Linked DNA regions of Styela clava. The protein of the gene in region 1 purifies or fractionates together with the protein of each later gene. This does not show direct contact. Links are inferred from orthologs where the notes say so. Each region holds a gene or a part of one and is shown in the gene's direction. Other genes may lie near its edges.

Region 1 (7,614 bases):
GCGTGAAGACATGTTAATCAGAAGGAACTAAATTTTGACCTCGATACTTCACTGTTATTGACGATGGTTGTGTACAATGCTTGCGCAAATGGTACGGGGTGTGCATCCACTCATGCATTATAGCGGATCTCCTTATTACAAACGTTATAACGTCGCTCATCCTATAGTTTCTGCTTTTAAGCTTGTTATTAGCTCTGAGCACAATTTTGTTGCATTTAGCGAAAGTTTTCGTGTTTTTATATTTCGGCAGGCGATTGAACGTAATAAACGCTATTTTAAAAAGATATTGATAACCCCTTTTTAATTCATGTTATAACAATTGTTCTGAAAGTATATCAATCAGGAGCGGATAATTACTCGTGGTAGATTTTTTATTTTATTTTGCGATCAACCCTGAAACACACAAATATTCTGCACCAACAAAAACTTTCCGATCATCGGAAAGTTATTTTCGGAAGATCACATAAAAAACAAGAGAGCTACGCACAAATATATGGACACGTTAGACCAGAGCGAATAAGTCTTTACCGGTACCTTTGACGCTACCGGTACGGTACCCTCAAAAAAGTTCTGAATTTCCAGTAGCAAGAATTTTGCAGAATCAAAACGTACAGCCAGTCATGACACTGACTAAAATGTGTGTTCCCATGGATAAAAAATAACACAGCAGAATTTTAGACGAAATATCAAATTTCATAGAATTCACGCAGAATTTTGAAATAAATAAAAGTAATAGCCTTCTAGCGAAGAAATTAATCTTTAACCCCTGAAAATTTCAAAGCAATTGGTCCAGTATTCGAAGAGAAAAGCGATTTTTCAAAAACGTGTCAAAGAACAAGAACAACATAATATTGAAACGATCGTTATGGCCACTAAACGTGTCCAATAAATAGATGCTTCATCAGCACATTGATAGACCACTAATGGGGTTTTATGGTTAGTGACAAATAAAGTGAAATGTCCAACAAGAACTCAATTTTGAGTGCTACAAACGCGTGGTATTGATTCGAATCCAAATCCGTTTTAGAATCTCCTCGGCTCATCCTCATTGAATTGAGAAGCATTCGCTATACCGAAGCTGTTACCAGATTTCATGTAGACATGCGGGAGTAAAAAATATTTTTTCTAGAATAATAAAAAGTGAAGTAAGTTAGTAAGTCTTCCACACTTCTGAGTCAATACATATGATATTGTTTGAATCAAGTAATAGTATAGATAGGCTATATAAGATAAAACTCTCTTCGCAGTGCAGCATTTTCTGGACGACTTCAGTCATTTTTTGGAATCGCGTTTCCAAATTACATTTTTCATAAATAAAAAATATAGTTGAAATTTGCAGAGCTATGGTTTCCGAAGTTTAACTTTATAGCACATGATTCGGACCTCCTGAAGTATTCTGAAAACAAAACTTCTGCCAGCAATGAGCTCTGGGACAGATATTCAAATGAGGTCATGGCGATAATCTGGGTTCTGAGCTGTAGTCGGAGTATATTTTTTACGACCCGGACTCACAATTATACACGGTGACACATCGCAAATGTTTTCTTAATCCGGAGTGGGAGTCAATTTCCAATATTTCCGGACTTCAATTTCCCGACTGGGAAAGAACCTGTGCATACGCTTGAGTTCGGTAGGATTTATCCGTGTACCCACTCTCGTTTTTGTTGGACCATACTCGGGCTGTTGGTGTAACTGGGCAGAGGTTGGTACCGCATTTGTGTGGGATGTATCAGCTAGGCCTATGGCCTATCTCTATATATTACTGACGTGATATGCAGCTACACGTTAAGTCCATCATTCATTCATATTTGCAGTATTCAGATATTCCATATTGGGCGCATGTTCACTAAACGACGAAAGTACCGGTACTTCTAGTTGGCGTGGCACAAACATTTTTGCATATGTCATTCCTGGGTGTCATGTCGTTTCGTACCTAACGTACGGTACTTCTAGTAGGCGTAGCATAACAATTTTTTCACGTGTTAATTCTAACCCCCACTTGACCACACCATCCAAAAATTACGTCACAGTGACGTAATAGAACTTTTCAGACTATGTCATCCATGTCCTATGTCATCGAACTGTCATCCAAGACGCGCAGACGAGAAATCGAACAGCCATTTCTCTCGTTTTCTCGTCGCAGCGATCCCGATAAGAGAGAGATTGCTGACGTTAGTCAGTTCTTTATCGTCGGCGCCGATGCCATTTCGGGCGATCGTACGAGTATTCGGCAAGCTCTATGACGTGATTGTGATGTCGTAGTGACGTAATTTTTGGATGACGTAGTCAGGTGAGGGTTAGGATTGACATGTCGAAAAATTGTTATGCTACGCCTACTAGAAGTACGGTATGTACGAAACTATACGAGACCCTTATTCCTCACCTGGCTTCGTCATCCGAAAATTACCCCATTTTTACGTCACAAACACGTCATAGAGCTTCCAAAGAAAAGCTATGATGGCCGAAATGACATCTCTGCTGAAGACAACGAACACGCTAACGCTAGCTATCTCTCTGATATTGGAATCGTTACGACGAGGAAACGAAAGAAATAGCTTGCTTGATTTCGGGTGATCGTCTGCGCTTTTTGGACGACGATTCGTATACTTTGACGGGTCATATTTCGTAATTGTTACGCTGTAGTGACGTAATTTTTGGATGACGTAGTCAGGTGGTGGATAGATATCATTATGACATATGTGAAAATGGTCATGCCACGCCAACTAAAAGTACTTGACAGCGTTTAGTGAACTAGCTTCCAGTATTTCATGTATTGGATTTAGCTTTCTATAAGATTATAATACTGTAATATGTGAAATTTACAGATTTATTTCACCAGATCAAAGTTATATAACCTAATACTGTAATAGTTGAGCAACTGGCATGGATTATGTTCCACCAACTATTGGAGACACAATTGAATTATTATGGTTTATTATGATATTCCTCCTTGTTCTACTTCTCGTCGCTCTTTGCACCTTTAATAAAGAAAATGGCGGAGTTCTGTGGCAGCTGATGACAATAGCTTCTCAATATGGCAAACTTAATTCTGGAAAAGCCATTAAGTTTTTCAATTTACCAAAGAAGATATTCACACATTTTTATGCTATTTCTGTACTATGGAATTTGATATTCATCGCAGATTTGAGCATAATATTTTGGTTTTCTGATACGCAAAAAGGTTTGATCATTAAGTACATTGTTCCTGAATCGAGTACAACTCGAAATTTGATAACAAAGAAGTCGTTATTGCTTGCTTTTACACTTATACTTATTCAAGGTTGTCGAAGATTATATGAATGTTTATATGTTAGCAAATTTTCCAAGCAAGCTACTATAAATTTATTCCATTACTTTCTTGGTGTTTTTTTCTATATTTTTGAGCCTTTAACTATTGTTTCAAAAATTGGTGCAATTGAAAAATTACCTTCTGGTGATATCGAACTGAGACATTTTGTTGGAATAATTCTCTTTGTTGTGGCCTCATATTATCAAAATCAAAGTTTTCATATATTTGCTAAGTTGAGAAAAATTTCTGATAAATCTGAATATAAAATCCCCACTGGTGATCTCTTTGAATTTGTGTCCTGTCCTCATTATTTTACTGAAATATTGATCTACACTGCTCTGACATTCATAGTAGGATTTTCGCACTATTCTTGGAGATATGCTATTGTTTTTGTCATTGTGATACATATTGGAATGGCTAAAATGTCCCATGAATGGTATTTATCAACATTCAAACAATATCCAAAGCATAGAAGAGCACTGATTCCTTTTGTATACTGAGAGAGAACACAATCTTCTCCTACCCCAGTCAAAGTATCATGTGCAATAAGTCCCAACCTGGATTTGAAATTTGTCCCCGAATCGGATTAATGCAACTCAGCAGGTATTTAGTTGATATGCTCAGTTTATGTAACATACAGAGTGTCCAAAAAGTTCCGCCCGATTTCATAGCATTACCAATTGCAAATTTGAATAAATTTGGTTCTATGATAAATAGGGACTATAACATTCAACATCTATAACATCCAATTAGAAAGAGGTTGACTATAAATCATTTTTAAAAGAAAAAAAATAACATTTGATTATAAAGACTTTATAATCGGACGAAACTTTTTGGACACCCTGTATATTCATTTTTACCCATGGCTTTTGCTTGGTCAAAATTTTGTTAGCAAAAGCATGTTCAATCTATTTTGTCAAATTTAAGTTGTATTAAACACTTATCTATGCATATATACAATACTTATCTTGTTTTTTTAGCAAATTTTCGGTCAATATTTTATTAAAATAGAAAATTGTGGCATTATTCATCCCTGTTGTATGTTTTCAAAGAGCAATTTTCTTTTTTCCTATTTTCTCAAACACTAAATTGTTATTGTACATGCTACTGTAGGCAAGTTGAGAACAAGGATTTGTCGGCATAGGCCCAAACCTGCTCGTTTGTTGGTACTCATCTTGTCCTGAGATATTTATTTTCCCTGTTACTGATAACAGAAGTCATTTTTAATCCAATTCATAGGAGATTAATTGAATCATGGTATTAACATATTTGGCTCTGTATTGTAGAGAAATGCATTTAGTGTTCTCATTGCTCGAAATTTAATATAGGCCTACAATTTGAAATTATCATCTTGGTTCTTTAAGTTATATTTTATCAGCAAATTGAGCTAATTGAAATTTTCTAATTTTTTAGATATTCAAATTTTTTTTAATTCCACCTTTATACAAGTCTAGTTTAATGGGAAAATCGAGTAAAGACAAGCGTGATATTTATTACCGATTAGCAAAAGAAGAAGGATGGAGAGCACGCAGTGCATTCAAATTATTACATTTAGATGAAGAGTTCAAATTTTTGAACAAAAGTGTTGAACGAGTGGTTGACCTTTGTGCTGCACCAGGCAGTTGGAGCCAAGTTTTGACAAGAACATTAAGGTGAATAATCAAGGTTTTTTTGTCATGGCATTAATACTGGAATATAACATTTTATTTTCTTGACTGAAGGATTCTTAAATCCAAGAAGTTTAATAAACTAAGTTCTTCTGGTTGCATGTATGTTATACAAAGTCTTATATGCTACTACAAATAAACATTGTTTTCTGAAGATTCAATTTCTGTTCCCTTGCATTTTCACACTTGTTAACTTGTAGAAAAAAATATTTCAGAGGGCCCACTGGACAAGAGAATCCAAATGTAAAGATTGTAGCAGTAGATTTGCAGGCAATGGCTCCACTACCTGGTGTTATACAAATACAAGGAGATATCACAAAGGCAAGATGTTGTTTTAAAAAAAATTTAACTCATGAGTCATGACTTTATTTCTCGTGTGACCTAGTTTTTTTAGAATATTCATTTTCAAGTTTTTATTCTTCAATAATGTTAGGGCCTACTACTCAGAGAATCAGGGAGCATGGTTGGTCTTAAATGAATAGTCACATCAAAATTGGAGTGCCAATATCAAAATAGCATCGTAATTGTAAATCTCAATCATAAAGTTGAATGGTGTCAGATTAGACTAGATCAGGGGCGGGCAACCTTTTTCGACTCGTGTGCCAAATTCCAAAATCGGCTAAGTTGATCGACAAAATTGTTCCGCGTGCCAACCAAAATCAAAAACCATGCTTTACCACTCTTGAGGCAGAGATACACAATATTAAACCTTTCAAACACGTACGGACAGATACACTAATCGGTGTAATATCAGTCCGACAAATAGATTCGAATAACGTATTGTTTACAAACGATAATGAATAAACGAACACCTCGTTTCATCAGATAATTCATAGTCTTGAAGCTTTTTATCTGAAGTAGAATGATCTCGTTCCCGAAGCCTCCCTCGCGTGCCGGATAAATGGGCCTGCGTGCCAAGTTTGGCACGCGTGCCAGGGGTTGCCCACCCCTGGACTAGATCAATATGTAATATTGTAAACTCATTTTGAATTTCTGTGGGTCTGAATAATGAAAATATCAACATGCAATTGTCATTTGGACACACTCCAATTACAAAAGTCTACTTCATATTATGCTATGTATATATCATCACACAGATTTTTAGATGTATAATTTGTGCATTTGAATTACCATATGTTTTCATTTGTAATCCATTCGTACACCATAGGTTTCAACAGCAGAAAGTATTGTTGATCATTTCAAGGGCGAACCTGCAGATTTGGTTGTTTGTGATGGGGCACCGGATGGTAAGTTTCTTTCTTACTGTTTAATCCTGACCTATGACCTATTGCTTTTATCTTTTTTAAGGGCATCATATGAAAAAATGATAAATAACCAACAAATTTGTATATTTTGAATTAAGTATTACAGGTAAGTAATGATTTCATGACAGTACAGGAGAACTCAAATATATTGACACAAAGTCAAATCTTGAGACAGTGTTCCTTCTATTTAGAATAAAACAGCAAAATTTGGTTTTAAATATCGGACCCCATATGCATCATAAAAAAAATTGAAAATATATTAAAGTTATAGACTTTCATCGACTTCTTTCATCTGCAAGATTTAAAATTTGCAATCGGTTGGTCCATTAGTTCTTCACAACAACAACTACCACAGCAATTCTGACAACATAAATTAGGAGAACAACTCATAAGTACACTTCATATCCAAAATGTAATCTTCATTGTGAAGACAATAAGTTTGATTAATCCACATGAGTGATTATGAACCAGTCAAGATTCAAATTGGCCAAGGTGGGAATGGAAAGACCAAGCTTTATTCTGATAATTATAGAGAATCAAGATTTTGCAGGTTACCGTACCTATTTTAGATTTATTTCAGAGTTACATCTCATCATAATATAAATTTCTCATTTGTTTTTAGTTACTGGACTTCATGACATTGACGAGTATATTCAAGCTCAATTACTTTTAGCTGTAAGTTACAATTTTACTCTTTTATATTTGTAGATTGTTATCTTGTGTACTGTTGCATTTTATACCAATCACAGGTTGATATTTTGTTACTTACATGTTATATACAGTATAGACAATGACTGATTATCAGTGTTGAATATATAACAAATTAACTATTCTTCTTGTCAGGCATTGAATATAACAACTCATGTACTGAAGAAGGGAGGAACATTCATTGCAAAAATATTCAGAGGTATATTTGAATATTTTTTTTTCAGAATTTAATCCATAATTTATCAGTTTATAAATTCTGCCACAGAGCCAAGATCATCTGTAGCGACATTCTACGTTGACTGGTGTTATGTATATATTATACAAGGCCAACGTCAACAATTAGGTATCTCTGTGCCCAAATAAATTTTGCTCAGAACAAGGCTCTGTACAACCATTCACTGATATCTAGAGAGCTACAATTTTTGGAGAGACCGGAATCTTTTTAGTTTAGCATTAACCAATTTATGTCTCAAGTGAGTTGGTGGTCATGGAATTTGAACTAGTGGTCTTTAATTCGCTGTGTCAATTCGCTGCATAGTCAAGCCAAGATTTCTGCGAAATAGAGTAATTGGTCATTACTTGAATAAGGCATTGCTATTAGTGAATAATTTTTCACTATGTTTCTGGACTCTGGCATTGAATTTACCACACATGAAAAAACATTCATATTTCTTATTTTCTCCAT
Region 2 (7,220 bases), on another chromosome or scaffold:
TTAAGTTTGAGCAAACATCAATAACTCACTTTTTATTTAGAAGAATAAAATTGAGCTTCCTTGCCAGTCTTAATTAAGTCGAATATGAATGACTTGATAATTCATTTGATTGTCTAATATCCAGCGGCAATCAAATTATTTCATTTTTTGAAGATATCTATTCACTATTATTACTGTAAATAGATATCTCCGAACGAGTTAAACACTGAAATAATAATGGTATCGCATTATTTTATTTGTACACATTACACATTGACTTCTCATTGAATTGAAAAGAGCATTGTATTTTCATATCAATTTACAAGTCGTCGCGCTATAATATCAAGTCCGACACATAGCGCACCTGCGATACAATTTTATGCATAGCCTATACAAAATCCCATTTCTTTTTATTAGTTTATATAAGAACAGTGCTGTATTCAATATTTTATTTTGATGTTTGAGAATATCATAAGAATAATATTACTAAATGATAAAGTTGAAATCAGTACTGAAAACACATTAAAGGACAAGCTCGGCGCTTCTCGATATTAACTATAAATTTCTGTCCGTTCACTTGTATTCGTTTTTCGATTTCTACCAAAATTTATGGCATAGTATTTCATTTCTTGCCTGTCCATTTCACGACACACAAGTGTAAAAAGAGAGATTTAATCTCATTGGAAAAATTTATCCGCCATATTTCATTATCAGTCCTCGGTAAATTTGGGATTCCACCTCTAATTATTAGGATGGAAAAAATAAATTGCTCTCAGGATGAAGACGCTTTATTCGTGAAATCATTTTTCAACAAATACAGCCTTGATTTGAAGTAACGTACCGGCTTTGATTTGAATTGAGTCTTGTTTAGTTCTGTGCACTTGCTTCAGGCCAGTTCCTCCCCTGTTGTTTTGACATTTAATTAAAAACGAAGGCGATATCATGATTCTCGGTAGATATCGTCCAAATAGCATTCCGTCTATCATCAACAAATGGCATGAAACACGTATATCAGTATCATTACTGTTTATCTCGAATCTGATCGCCTCTTTCGTTGAAACCATTCCATATTTCATTCGTTAACTGTTATTAATGCACATTAAATTGGTTTGGGCGTCTGAGTCAGTTTGTTTGAATATTTTGAAGTTTTTTATAGGATCTTTCGCAACGGAATTATGCAATAAATTGAATTATATATTACATGGTAAATTGTTTGTCATCAGAAAATCATTTGCGAAAACAACGTCATCGCCACAATGGTTCTTGATAGTCATCCATCCGCTTCCAGACATTACCTATTTCTTCTGAAAGTCCAATCTACATTCAATTTCAATCCAGATAATCTTCAATTCAATTTTCAACTTCCAGATAATCTCATTTGCACCATGTGTAGATACTGCTAATATCACCATTCTTCATCGCTGTATCAGTGTTAAGTTCCAAGCAGCCAAATCCATTAGAAACGGGTTTCCAAATACAGGATAGCATGTTTAAACTGTTTTGCCGACCTATCTTTATGATGGACCGATTATAGGGGCCTTTTCAGGTAAGAACTTTGGAAAATTAACTCTCGCTTGCTTGATATGCTTGTTATGTCCTAATATTTAACTTGATTATTATTTATGAATGATATTGTACATATTCTTTGGTTACGCGAGAACGTTGGATCTTTCTACCGTAGCGGCAGGCATCTTTCTCGTTAGGGCCTACGTCATTTGTACAATTAAGTGATAGGCCTACGTCCTTCTCTGGATTATTCCTGTCACATTCTGTCCAAAGATCCCACAACTCGCTTATGGACGTTCTGGTTACGCCCCACCAAAAAAAAAAAAGAGTTTCGGCTGGCAGTTAACCTTCAAAACCAAGAAATATTTTTATCAAAATTTTCAGAATATATTACGGAATTAACAACTCATAGCGTAATGTAGCGATCGTAATGACTTCAACTGTTTCAAGTCTTGCATCAACATGTACTTGTGCACAATGCTCGCTTTAATCTGTATGATTTCAGTGGCTCTTCGCACTCTACTTTTCCTATTTTTTTTTATAAAATGAGTTCTTCTTATTCCTAAGTAAGTGCACTTGAACCTGCTTTGAGCATCTTCTCATAAAAATACATCAAATGTTTTATACAATAAAATGATTTCCACCAAAATCAGCAATTGCGCCTATTTGAAAATCTAAATTGTTCGTGTCACTTGCAAGCGCCATTTATACAATGCGCAATGAAATTTACTAACGCATCTAAATAAAATCATCAATTACAAAACAGTCATAATTTTCCTATGATAGCACTGACGCAAAACAATGAAATGAGTTCACGCGTGCTATCTGACGTAGCCTACGTAGGTACTTAACCTATGATAATAATGACCTATATTTTATAATAATGACTGATAATAAACTTAATGACTACTTCCTCGTATTCAATGCATTACTGTATATGTGATAGAATTGATTACGTATTATAGGAATTTCAATACACCTACAAATGCATTACAAATAGCGTAGATGTATTGTTTTATGTCGATTTATCAAACAATTCTTTTAGAATACAGTAAGGGATAATACGTGGAGTAACAATTTAGCACACACAGACCGATTCCCATCGTGTACCCTTGATATAACAATTTGCTACTTTGTGATATATCTGCCAGACTTTCAAATCACGCAAGTACATATATTCCTTCTCAATATAATGTTGGGAATTGTCAACTAATGACATACGTTTTGGCCCACGCAAGCTCGAGCGCAGAGATACGTTTATCAACAATACGTCTCTTTATTGCTCACAGCAACTAAACAATCAATGCAATTCGTGTGCATTAATACCATTCATTTATGACGATCAACAGACAACATTATCTATGTGCAATGTTTCAATTCAAGAATGACTTGGGCGTAATTTAGTTTAAAAATTTCTTGCACAACAATTCTAATGTGACTGAGCCATTTATATAGCCATATTTCATCTGACGTTACATCAATATGGAAATAATAGTGACAAACTTTATTTACAGATTACTCATAATAAATCACGTGATTTATTTAGACTTACAACGTTTATTGTCATTCATAAGAAAGCGAATAAATAAATTATTCAATGAAGATAATATTAGACGGCAAAAAATGAAAATTAAATCCTGTTTTCATTTGCTGAAAAAAATTTCTAAGACTTTTTTATTTTCTTGAAATGATATGCATCTTCGTCCAAACGAGGGTTTTATTTATTCGTAAGATCCATAGCTATAGGACATATTTATTCCGGGGGAGAGGAAGGCCGATAAGACGACTTAATTATATAGCGGACCACGGCCTCTCGTTCGGTTACGAGAGTTCATGTCGGGTATACGATATGTTATCCAGTTATTTGTTTCAGATGCGTGGAACTAATAGGGGGAGGGGTGCGTAACCAACCAGCGGTTACGCGAATCCCGTTACAGTGGCAAGAAGTCCAGCAATCCTATTGCACATAATTTTTGTCCGCGGTAGTCAGAGGCGCAGAGTATTCTCAACATAAATGGAGAACTGATAGTCTACTCACTACTGGGCAATAAATAACCATAATAAAAGAACCGTAACAACGAACAGAGTAAAATATACCAAGGGCATGCCCTGGCCATGCAATTTTAGTATATATCAAATCCATAAATCCACGTGCTTTGTAAATTTGTGCTATATGAGCAATCATTTTTACGGAACCCATTATCAAATAGCTATTACATCTGTCATTTGGATGTTATCCTCGGGTTCGATCAGCTAACTTTTCGCTATAAACGGTGACAACACATTTGAACGTGTGTATCCGCGGGTTCAATCTATATGCGGATGCTAAAATCCATGGGTTAGGGTTAGTATGGGTTCAAATATCCGTAGGTGCAAATTTCCATAGGTGCAATAATATGCAGGTGCAATTGTCGTGGGTTCAAATGTAGCCTACGTAGGTTCAAATGTAATGGAACCGCGATAAACTTCTTCATTCCCGGTTACACGTGTGATAATATGGACCAACGCCTCATGAAGTACTTTTCACCTGTCAGCCCCACACGGTTTGGGTTTTTATTAAAAATGAGCTTGAAACATTTGTAAGCGCCAACTCTCCAAAACACTCAAAAATGTTGAATTGGTAAAGTATAATGCAAATTTTTAGGGGTCAAGGATCAGAGTTCATTGTTAATTGTATTCATTTTATTGTTTCACAGGGGATTTCCCTTTTTCAACGTGCTTAAGTCATATTTCATTATAATTTGACTTAAAATTTCTCTTTTGATAATTTTAATTGAACAGTATTTTGTGTTGCAAAGTGATGTCTTTGATCAAAGTTCCAGTAACTGCTCTTGCTGTCTATAAGGAGTATTTGCTTGCCGGTAAGTAATGTCACTATGTTAAGAGACTTCAGTCTTCCGATTTTTTGCTTCACTCTGTTACTTTTACGGTACTGCTTTAATCTTTTGTTTACCGGTATATAACTTATGTTTATTTTGTTTTTGCGAATAAATGTAAATAAAATATAACGACTCAAATTGAGTGGTCATTTTTCATACCCGTACCATTTTTTTTTCGTAGTTCTGTAGTTATCAAATTTATATAGTCTTCTTCTTCTAGCCTTTTCATTCATATTTCAGTATTTGTTACTTCAGTACTTCAACACTGTTCGTCAAGTGGAAAATTATTATAGCAACAAATTTAACATACTGCAGTACTGACATACCTGTGGGCTGCAGGGTTAGACTGGTGCTGAGCTGCAGGGTCCTTGTGTATATCTGTATATTGTGAGATAAAACTTGATGAATATTATTCACGATTTAGAATTCTTTCAGCGAAACTCAAGCTGCATTCATTTTACTGTGTTTACCTTGCCTGGGTCAATCCACAGGGTCTGCACACTGTCTTTTAATCAGTCTGTCATCAAGTGCATCTTGACATTAAAAACTGAAAAAGTAACGATAGTCGATGGCTAAGTTTTTTGGTTTAAACTTCATTAAATTGAAGTCTCACAGCACAGTAGTAAAAATGTTAGCACTTTATTAAATAAACCCTAATCCAGTAATCACTTGTGCTGTACACTGTCTGACTGACATATACCTTTTACATGTCCAAGGCTACTTTATTAACTATATGGCTGATTCAGCGATTCTTTCATTCTTTTCCAATTAATCTTGTATTTGCAATATGGCAATGTAAATTTGACGTAATAATAGGTATTAAAGAATGTCTTGCTTCAGTGTTTTATTATTCATCAAATGTTTCAGGTGTTGGAAGCTTCATTAAAATTTATACTCGAACACCTAAGTCTGGAGAAAATGATACAACAGAAGTTCTGAGTGTGAAGAAAATTTTCAATCGTCATGTTGTCCATGGATTGAAGGTATTCAAAAACCCTTTATATGTAGACGGTTTTCATGCTGTGATGGTGATTTCATATATATTTTTGTTAAATTGTTGTTGGGGGGCAAAAATTGCTAATAGACAAATTGGTTACAGTTGCCCGGAGATTTATTTTTTTTTTTAAATTTCTTCTTTGAGTCCTTAAGACGGAATTTTCACCCAATATTTACTGTTTTCTTTAATATCATGGAACATTATTTTATGACAAATTAGAACACTTTATGACCTTTGACCTTACAAAAATATATTTTAGCATTACTCCCTTGTAATTTTTGCATTAAGTGTCTCCTAAAACATTTTTTTTAAGTTTTGAACACATCAATAAATTGATTGTTCATCAATTGTGGGTTCAAAGCTCTATGATTTTATAACTGAATTGAAAATGTAGATAAAACTCTGGCAGTTAGCCCTTTTATACACCATGTACTCATCATAATCGTCAGTATCGTATACATAATACAAAATAGTGAATATGGGGAGAGCTCTCCCCAGTCTATACCAAGTAACTTTACGTATATTGCTGTATATTTTTATTATAGTTGTTCTGGTTGACAAATAATTAATCTCTCTTGCTCTCTGTCCGAGTTTATTATTTTCATATTATGTGATCGTTCAGGTTTTCAACTGTCAAAATTCTTTTATTGTTGCATATGGTGGACAAGAATGGTGCATTTGCAAATTAACTGAAGGTTTGTGGATCTTTGTTTATACCAGGTCAGCAGTCTCCTAAAGTACAATATTATATGCTGCATAATTTCAATCGTTCGCATTCCACTAGTTGGCGACAACTTTGCTAGGAAATGCATGTAACTTTTGCATATAGCCGCATGAACTTGTTTTGTGCAACTTACTCAAAAAATGTGAATATCTAAAATTCGTTCCCATTTTCTAATTCTACATAGTTTTGTCTCTATGTTTATTAACTGTCATAAAATTACTTAATTTTGTTCGTAAACTCGTAAAGTTAGTTATTTCATCAACATTCATGAATTTGTTCAATAGGAGTCATCGGAATTTGTTAGAAACATTTTACTAAGATTGAACAAATATAAGATTTCCACTTTTTCTGTGTGATGAGTCATTTCATTTTTTTTCTAGATGATGATGATTTGTTACAGATACTTTTTTCATCTAAAATTCATGATTGGATATGGGATGTTTCGCTAATATACCGAGACATTGTAAACGATGACATTCCAAGGTATGTTTATCATGTATGAATGTCAGAACTAACCACTTTTTAAATTACTTACTAAAATATTGTAATGCTTTTTTTAGACTCACAGATCAGATCGCTTTCGCGCTTGGACATAATTCTGTAGTTTTATATGATTGGATGCAAGATAAGATTATAGTGGAATCTCATTGCGAAGAAAAATGTATTTTGTACTCTGCATATTTTGTTGCAGACGAAAGGTATTACTTATCTCAAAAACTATGCTTGACTTTACTTTTCTGCATTTTACACTTGTGTCAATGTGTTTTTTATTGAACATGCCTTAATTTAGAGTATATTGTAGTCTTTTTTTCGATTCTGTTCATTCTTGTCGATGGGTTTGTTATCTAGCATCCATATAGTCCGGTATAGCACAGGCTAATAATCTTTTGTGATTTCGAACATGCTGTTATACAGCCCGCAGTCGTAGGTTTACAATGTTGCTTATGCCTTAATAATGAATGTACACCCAAGTTACCCAAAGCCAGTCTAGGTTTTTGGTTTGATTTCAATTTCATTTATTTAAAAATTAAATCTTGATATTTTAATTTCAGACCAACTTGGAAGTCTTTAACGTTATGTAGTGGGACAGTTTTTAATCAAGTGGTTATATGGAGACCGGGATCTCGTGATCAAA

Evidence for each region.
Region 2: the proteins of tRNA (cytidine(32)/guanosine(34)-2'-O)-methyltransferase-like (region 1) and tRNA (34-2'-O)-methyltransferase regulator WDR6-like purify together in Homo sapiens (affinity purification with mass spectrometry; 3 studies listed by BioGRID and IntAct, with this or other methods). This does not show direct contact. The link is inferred for Styela clava from reciprocal best matches to the Homo sapiens genes FTSJ1 and WDR6.

The regions. Positions count from the first base shown.
Region 1 is NC_135263.1:13,288,927-13,296,540, forward strand, and holds the start of tRNA (cytidine(32)/guanosine(34)-2'-O)-methyltransferase-like, read left to right. Parts: upstream 1-4,606; 5' UTR 4,607-4,747; coding exon 4,748-4,941; intron 4,942-5,171; coding exon 5,172-5,277; intron 5,278-6,124; coding exon 6,125-6,203; intron 6,204-6,843; coding exon 6,844-6,896; intron 6,897-7,064; coding exon 7,065-7,128; intron 7,129-7,614. Other genes in the region: polyprenal reductase-like, read left to right, coding at 2,884-3,789. UniProt on the Homo sapiens protein: Methylates the 2'-O-ribose of nucleotides at positions 32 and 34 of the tRNA anticodon loop of substrate tRNAs. Requisite for faithful cytoplasmic translation.
Region 2 is NC_135254.1:10,191,463-10,198,682, reverse strand, and holds the start of tRNA (34-2'-O)-methyltransferase regulator WDR6-like, read left to right. Parts: upstream 1-4,196; 5' UTR 4,197-4,285; coding exon 4,286-4,346; intron 4,347-5,231; coding exon 5,232-5,347; intron 5,348-5,983; coding exon 5,984-6,056; intron 6,057-6,465; coding exon 6,466-6,568; intron 6,569-6,645; coding exon 6,646-6,783; intron 6,784-7,137; coding exon 7,138-7,220. UniProt on the Homo sapiens protein: Together with methyltransferase FTSJ1, methylates the 2'-O-ribose of nucleotides at position 34 of the tRNA anticodon loop of substrate tRNAs. Required for the correct positioning of the substrate tRNA for methylation.